2 linked regions of the Xenopus tropicalis genome follow. The protein of the gene in region 1 binds, or shares a complex with, the protein of each later gene. Links are inferred from orthologs where the notes say so. Each region holds a gene or a part of one and is shown on either strand. Other genes may lie near its edges.

Region 1 (3,477 bases):
CCCCAAACCGCTTTTTATATTTCGGCCTAGAGAACCAAAGCCACACTGGGTTTTTAGAAGGACCAAAGAGCGTTCTCATCCATTATTCAGTGTTGATATTGTAAATCAGATAACAGTGCAGCCATGAAAATGCGAGGCAACAAAAAGTGGTGCCAGAGTCCGGTTTAAGACATCTTGTAGGTAATTCTTGTGCACGACGTGGATTCACGCTGGTCCCTCGCCGTCAGTGCTGCTGTGCCACGCTTCGGCAGCCAATTCCTTCCGGCTGTCAATACTATCCCAGCAGTTGCATCATATCTTAGTGTCTAGTGGATGGCTTCTGCTCTCACCCACCCAAGGGGGTCCTGCCCCGCTAGACATGAACTACAACATTGCACACCTCAACCATATTAAAATTTATGTTTTTTTTTTTTTTTACTTTTAATTATTTTATTTTCATTTAAAAACATCTCTTGAATAAAGTTCCATATAAAAAGTGCTTCAATTGGAAGATTTGCTGATAGCGCTGGCAGAGCGGCGGAGCTTCCCTGACACTTTGCTCTTGGTGGCACGGCTCAGTGTTGGAGAGGAGGGTTCTGCTGCCTCGGCTCCAGCCAGATCTGCACTTGTACTTGCCGGGAGTCCTAGGAAGGAGGAGGAGAGAAGGTTTAGACTGCAGGTATCTCAAGCAAAAAGCTTCTACATAGGAGCAGGTTAGGGCAAAGGTAAGGACTATAAACATAAATGCTGATATAGTGCAAATAAATAGGCAATGTGTCGACTATGGTAGATAACAGAGCAACTCGGTGCCACCTTCTGTGCAACTAAATATCACCTGTGTGGCAGCTGTAGCTGGACATACTGCATGCAATAATATGTTCATCAAACACACTATCATCATGACATAAGGATGCCAGAGGGGCTGCTGTAAGATGCCACAGACAGTCACTATTTATTGGGCCAGGGGGGCTGTTTGGGCCTCTGTGTACTTGAAATGCCGGGGCCTATCCAGAATCCCAGTCCAGGGTCCTATCAATGGGGCTCGATGCAAGTGGCCCCAGTGACCCCTCCACTTAGCCACAGCGCTATGTCAGACACACATGTGCATTGCATGATGAGAGTTCATTCCGCTGAATAGTTTCTCTGTATCATATGGACACTCCTTTTGCAGTGAGAAAGCAGTCAGAGCTTGCTTTTTGCCTTAGAAGACACAGTAATACACACAGAGAATAGTGCAACCACAGCAAACTGCTTTTATACGAGTGTCTAAGCATCTGATTAAAAGACCACAATGGCCAGTCCTCACCCACAAGGCTTGGGATGGGTCCCTAAAGCAACCCTAAAGTATTGGAAACACCACTTTATTTGCCAAATCTCAAATATAAGCACAACAAATTTCCGATTGCGACTTCCATGGGCTTCGCACACTGATATTTTAATCATTAACTCACAACTCAATTACTCCCAGAAGGTGAAGATGACTGAAGGTCACAACTAAACGGCTCGGCTGAATGGGACCAGATGAGGTTGCTACTATTAAGCACAACACAAAATGCATAAAATTAAAGCTTCGGAGTAACAAATCTCTCCCAGTACAATTACAAACGTGCACCGAGGAATTCAGAGATGTCTGTTGCAATCTAGGAGGGTTGTTGCTTTTGTTGTGGCGGCGTCTCCCTGGGCAGTAGGGTAAGAGGGAATTTCATTTCATCAGGCTCTCGCTGCATCATCTGTAAATCATGAATCACGAGGCACAAGTGCAAACAACTGCTCATGTAAATCCATGCACCAGCCTTTCAACGCAATTACAATTCCCATCAAACTGCAATTGATAGAGACACGAAGGGAACAAATGGTGAGTCATTTGTTGCACTGGATAAAGGTCATGGTGTCCCAGCACTGTGCCAATGTATATGCTACGTGGGGTGCACAGAACCAAGCAGAACTGTAGGACACACTGTGCCACATTCTCACCAATAACAAAGCTTTGCCTGGTATCGGTATGTGCATCCTGCCCAGACAACTATGACTTCAAGCAAAACTATACCCCTCAACCATGTAGGTCTCTATAAATGTATCACATAAACAGCTCATATGGGAAAACCCTGCTTCATCTAAATAAACCTTTTTATTTTTTTTTTTCATAAAAATATACTTTTCTAGTAGTATGTGCCATTGGGTAATCCTAAATAGAAAAATGCCATTTTAAGTGCTAAGGAATCACAGTGCACACAAACAACGCAAGGGCACATATACATGCCAGGTCACACAAGGCATACCCCCCCAACTGTCCCACTTTCAGGGGGACTATCCCGGTTTTAATAGCGCATCCTGCGTAACAGATTACGGAAATGTGGAACATTCATTGAACTATATGGGACAGCGGGATGCGCTGGCTGGACCAGGGCGCTCCTGCTCCTTGTGCGGCAGCGGCTACAGACTCTTTCATAAGGTTGCGCCCCGTGCGTATTGACGTCACACGTACGCACGGAACGCAACCTTATAAAAGGACCTGTCACCGCATAAAGAACAGGAGCCGAAAAAGAAGAAGACGACAATGACTTTGGGAGACACTATCTATGGGGGCACTGTGTATGGGGGGGTACTGTCTATGGGGGTATTGTGTATGGGGGTTACTTTCTATGGGGGCACTGTGTATGGGGGCTACTGTCTATGGATCAATTGGTGGCACTGTCTATGGGGTAAATTGGGGCACTGCCTATGGGGTCAACTGGGGGCACTTTCTATTGGGGGCTACTGTCTATGGATCAATTGGTGGCACTGTCTATGGGGTCAATTGGGGGCACTGTCTATGGGGGCAATTGGGGGTACTTTCTATGGGGGGCACTGTGTATGGGGGGGCAAAACTGGTACATAGCTATAACTCACTTATAACTGACTGCCTTCTATATTTGTATTTTATATGTAGGAGTTGCTATATTGTTTTCCTTAGGTAGTAGTGTATGAGGGTATAGCACATTTTGTGTTTGATCCGCCATTTCAACTATATAAAAGGAGTATTTTTGAAAATAAAAAACAAACAAAAGGGGAGTGGTAATTGGGGCGTGGCCACAAAAGTGGGCATGGTCAAAAAATTTGCCACGCTGTGCACGCCAAATCTTTTTATCCCTCTTTCCATTTTTCAAAAGTTGGGAGTTATGATAAGGCAATTAATGAACAAAGTTTTGTCTTTTACTCCAACACTTCTCCCTGTTAGGGTGAAGACACACACAGCTACTAGTAGCAGCTAATTTTTCAAGGCTACTGAACTCCAGAAAATCCCCTGCCATAGACAATACTGAGAATTGCTTCTGCTAAAACACATGTAGAGACAATTATCAGTAAATGATCAGCATTGTCTATTGCTGTAGCTGTGACAAGTAGCTGCTACTAGTAGCTCTGTGTGTCTTCACCCTTACAGTTACAGCTGCATTATTTCCTGTCAGCTGATCTCTGAGGGAGCATACAGAACATCACAAAATGGTGGCTCAAAGGAAA
Region 2 (4,261 bases), on another chromosome or scaffold:
TCCGATAAATAATCAGTTACATTTAAATCTGCAAACAGCCTACACAGACCCTTATTCAGTATACATTTCATCAAGAATACAGGCTTACACAGGCACAACTGTCTCTGATAAAAGTTCAGTTTGAGCTGAGCTCAGGAGAGGAGGTTAGGAGAAAAAAATTGAAGCTGACAGCTAGAGCCGAGTTTCTATGGGAACTGGCAATGCCATCTCCTCACTGGCTGCTAGACTGGAGGGCGTGTTTAGTAATCTGAGCTGAGAAAAACTGAGCATGCCCACAAGCCAGAAGTCAAAGCAAATTCCTGAGGGAAGGGGGCGAGTATGTTACAGGAGGAGAAGGAAATCTAAGTGATTAAGGGGATGCTGCAGCCTTACTATTAACCTCTGGACAAACAGTGTGGCAGGTATTGAAAGATTTAAAAGAGGCTGTTCACTGATTAAATTTTTGTGTCTGGGGTTTACATGTTCTTTCAGTGGGCCCGGTCATATTACAAAAGTTATGTAAATTGCATAAGTAAAGCATAGAGCATAAAGCTACGCCAAAACTTACGCAATTTACGCAAAAACTGCTAGGAAAACTATGTGACTCTCCTAGAAGTTTAAGAAACTTGCATCAAGCAAAAGACAATGCAGAGAAGCTTTGCAGGGATAAACCCCACTGGCCATTGACAAATTAACAAACTTAAGGTAAATTCCACTGTCTCCAATGAACTGACTGATTTTTTAGCTCATTAATTCATTTTAATTCTTAATATAAACAGCTTATTATAGAGTAACATCAGATTTGTTTTTTATATTGGGAACTATTTATTATTCTACATGAACTTTGCAACAGGGGAATGACTTGAATGGTTATTGGGCCCTGCAGCAAGAAACATCATTTAAAATACTGACTTATTAGCACATTCATTATTTTTACTATTTTTATGAACTACTACTGACTGCGCCTCACAGTAATATCATCGGGCCCCTAAACGTATGCAGTTTACGTAACTTATGCGAAAACTTACAGAACTTCCATATCAAGCAATGATAGCACAGTGCAGGGGCAGGTAGGTGGGAATGGGTTAAACGTAGGGCAAATTTCACTGACCCCTAATAAACTGAATGACTTATTAGCACGTTAATCAATGGAACTCTTTATATTATCTGTTTACTATAGAGTAACATCAGCTGTTTATATTGCACACACAAGGGGCATGGCCAGTATTTTGGTACTGCGTGCTTGTGTTCATGGGGGGCTCCATATAAATAACTGGTGTGGGGCCCCAAATTTTCGGATGGCAGCCCCGTATACCAGTTTACCATACAATATTTACTTTATATTATTCTGGTTTATTGCATATTATTTTCTTATGAAAACCACCTAGTTCACTATTACTGAGATATACAGTATGTACCCAACACATATGTAATTGACTGTAGATTTGGATTTTTTAATCTCTGATTCTTATCTATCTTTTTAAATATCAAAAATTATTTATTCCTTTATCACTATTTACATGCTGTGATATTAGACTGTACCATTTCTATGTACCATATTCACAAAAGTGGCATTAAGATGCACTTTGACATTTCACCGCAGTAAAATGTTTGTTTAGTTCAGAAATTGATTAAACCACTCACAATCACCTGGACACCAATTTTCAATACACCACCCTATGCCAAAATTTATTTTTTTTACTATATATATTATATATATATATATATATATGAAAAAGCTAAATTAAGCAATTACGCCAGCTGAATTCCATCCTTTTGAATTTTATGTTAAATAATGCCAGCAAAATGGAGTTAATAATTAACATCAATTTCACCTGGCACAAGTTATACTCCAGATTTCATGGATAAATTTGCTACTACAAATTCACAAAACGACGGTGTACAAAATCACCATATTCACAAAACAGATTTAATAGAAATAAACATTAGACCAATAGATTAAAGCTTTTGTGAATTTAACGTTCTTTTGATTCCCCCCCCCCAAACACTGGTGTTCAGATTAGATGATTTATAGCAGTGATCCCCAACCAGTGGTTCGTGAGCAACATGTTGCTCTCCAACCCCTTGGATGTTGCTCCCAGTGGCCTCAAAGTAGCTGCTCATTTTTTAATTTCTAGCTTGGGGCAAGTTTTGGTTGCATAAAACCCAGTGTAAAGCCAAACAGAGCCTTCTATAGGCTACCAGTCCACATAGGGGCTACCAAATAGCCAATTATAGCTCTTATTTGCACCCCCAGGAACATTTTACATGCTTGTGTTGCTCCCCAACACTTTTTCCATTTGAATGTGGCTCACGACTATAAAAAGTTGGGGATCTCTGATTTATAGGGTAAATCAATATCAAAGTCAAATTTGTGTTTATGTCACTTTAGTGAATTCCCTGCTTGCTAAAGTGTTGAGAGTAAGTTTTCAGATTCAGTGTGACTGAATATGAGTTTCCTAAATCCAAACATTACCAAAATTGTATGGATTTGGCCAACTCTTATGAATCATAGTATTTTCATACTGCCTGATACACTAGACTTACCTAATTTGTAGTTTCCATATAGCAGCTGTTCCAGGATTGCTGTTTTACCAACTGCCGCAAACCCACAAACTACAACTTTGCTGCCTTTCCCCATTGTAAATGAGAAAATTCTACAAAACACTATTCAGTCTGACTATTAATCCTCTGATCTGTGGTAAAATTCAGTTGTGCAACACACCTGGGCTTTAAGGATTAGCACTAGTTTTGCTGAGGGTTCTATTCAGTAGCTTATCGTTCCACCTTTTAATATCCACTTGGAAGAAGAAACCATAAACACTATATTCTCATCCTCTTCAAATCCCAAGCACCTGTGCATGCTATGCTGATGTCTCTGCAGCCACACATCAATAGGAATTTTTAAAACAGGTATCATTTTTTTCTAGAGTCATAACCAGCAGTAACTGACTAGACATTTATTTTTAATTGTCTGACTGCACTAAACTAATTCAAACTGATTTATGATGGGTTGCATATGCAAAGGTTACTAGTCTTGCATAAAATGACATCTGTTTTGTGAACCACACTGATTTTTTTACAGGTTGGATTAAAACCTGAGTTTCTAACTGCACCTCGATGTCCTGCATTTTTCATGCATTCAATTAACTGACCAATCTCTCCTCTGTAAGGACTGCACCCACAGAAGTGTAAAACAATTGTGCATGTGTGTAAGAACCTTTAGTACAATGCCACATGAAAGTGGTTATAAATTAAAAACAGGTTTTCTTTATATGAGGCTTGCCACATAGCATTATTCTTTGCTATGGGAAAAGCCACAATTACAACTGTCTTTATAGAAAACATTTCAAAAATCTGATTCTTATGCCTGCACCCAGAGTCATTGCATCGGCCCGACTGCAGTAACTACACTAAGCACAACTGCTTGCGTATGTTGTTTTGCAGTGATTTCCACTTAGTGTGCCCAATACAGTGGCAGCAGTTGCAGGCACAACAATGAGAATTTTAAAGTGTAGGGGCAGATTTTGGGCCTGCACTTATCCGAAGGCCATGGGGCCTAAGGGGCACATTCATTAAAGTACGACAGGTTCAATTACAAAAAGTGTATTTTTTTTTTATGTACAAATTTTGCGTATTTTCTGTGATATTTTCATTAATTTGTGCAACTTTTTCGTACTTTGCGACAATTTGTGCGACAAAAATTGTATTTGTCGCAACGAGTACGAAAGTTTTGGATTCATTCAAGCTTCAGTATCGTGACTTTCCTTGGGCGAGGTAGGAGCTGCAGAGTGCCATTGAGTCCTATGGGAGGCTTCCAAAATCATGTACTGAAGGTTCAAAGTCAGAAAGGTCTTCGCACCATTTACAATTATTCGGATACAAAAATTGCGCAACTTTGGAATTGTACCACAATATTTTCTTCCAAGCACGACGCGACTTTTCGCAAAATTAACACACATCAGAAATTTTTGTATTTAATGCAAATTTTTGCAAATTGTACTTGTAACTCGTACGTTATTGAATCTGGCCCTAAGACTACAATGTGTATTCAGCTACCATTGATATAGCACCCCCCGAATTCTGCAATATTTTGGAGATCCTTCTATTATTGAATTTAAAAATGGTAAAAAAAATCCTTAGGCTGTATTCTAAGGACAATGGCACATGGGGGAATATAGAGCACTGCATGCTACACCAAACCACTCCCATTCACAGGGGTAATTGTAGGCCTCGGGGCAGTTTTCTGATGCTGCTCCTATAACACCTGTGTTTTTTTCCC

The links.
Region 2: the proteins of ralgapa2 (region 1) and nkiras1 are in contact, whole or in part, in a crystal structure (PDB 9QU1), measured with the Homo sapiens proteins. The link is inferred for Xenopus tropicalis from reciprocal best matches to the Homo sapiens genes RALGAPA2 and NKIRAS1. Residues at the interface, in NP_065076.2 of Homo sapiens: Pro20, Lys21, Tyr51, Ser52, Gln53, Phe56, Tyr59, Glu60, Ile63, Arg99, Phe102, Arg103, Trp104, His105, Tyr106, Gln107, Ser108, Lys185, Ile186, Tyr187, Pro188, Glu189; in NP_001364280.1 of Homo sapiens: Lys6, Glu22, Leu24, Leu25, Tyr26, Glu34, Met39, Glu40, Asp41, Val42, Tyr43, Met44, Ala45, Ser46, Val47, Glu48, Lys54, Gln56, His58, Tyr60, His74, Tyr75, Ser77, Phe78, Lys108, Thr162.

The regions. Positions count from the first base shown.
Region 1 is NC_030681.2:36,761,533-36,765,009, reverse strand, and holds part of ralgapa2 (ral GTPase-activating protein subunit alpha-2), read right to left. Parts: intron 624-3,477; coding exon 481-623; 3' UTR 1-480.
Region 2 is NC_030682.2:46,635,545-46,639,805, forward strand, and holds the start of nkiras1 (NF-kappa-B inhibitor-interacting Ras-like protein 1), read right to left. Parts: upstream 2,894-4,261; 5' UTR 2,621-2,893; coding exon 2,527-2,620; intron 1-2,526. UniProt on the Homo sapiens protein: Atypical Ras-like protein that acts as a potent regulator of NF-kappa-B activity by preventing the degradation of NF-kappa-B inhibitor beta (NFKBIB) by most signals, explaining why NFKBIB is more resistant to degradation.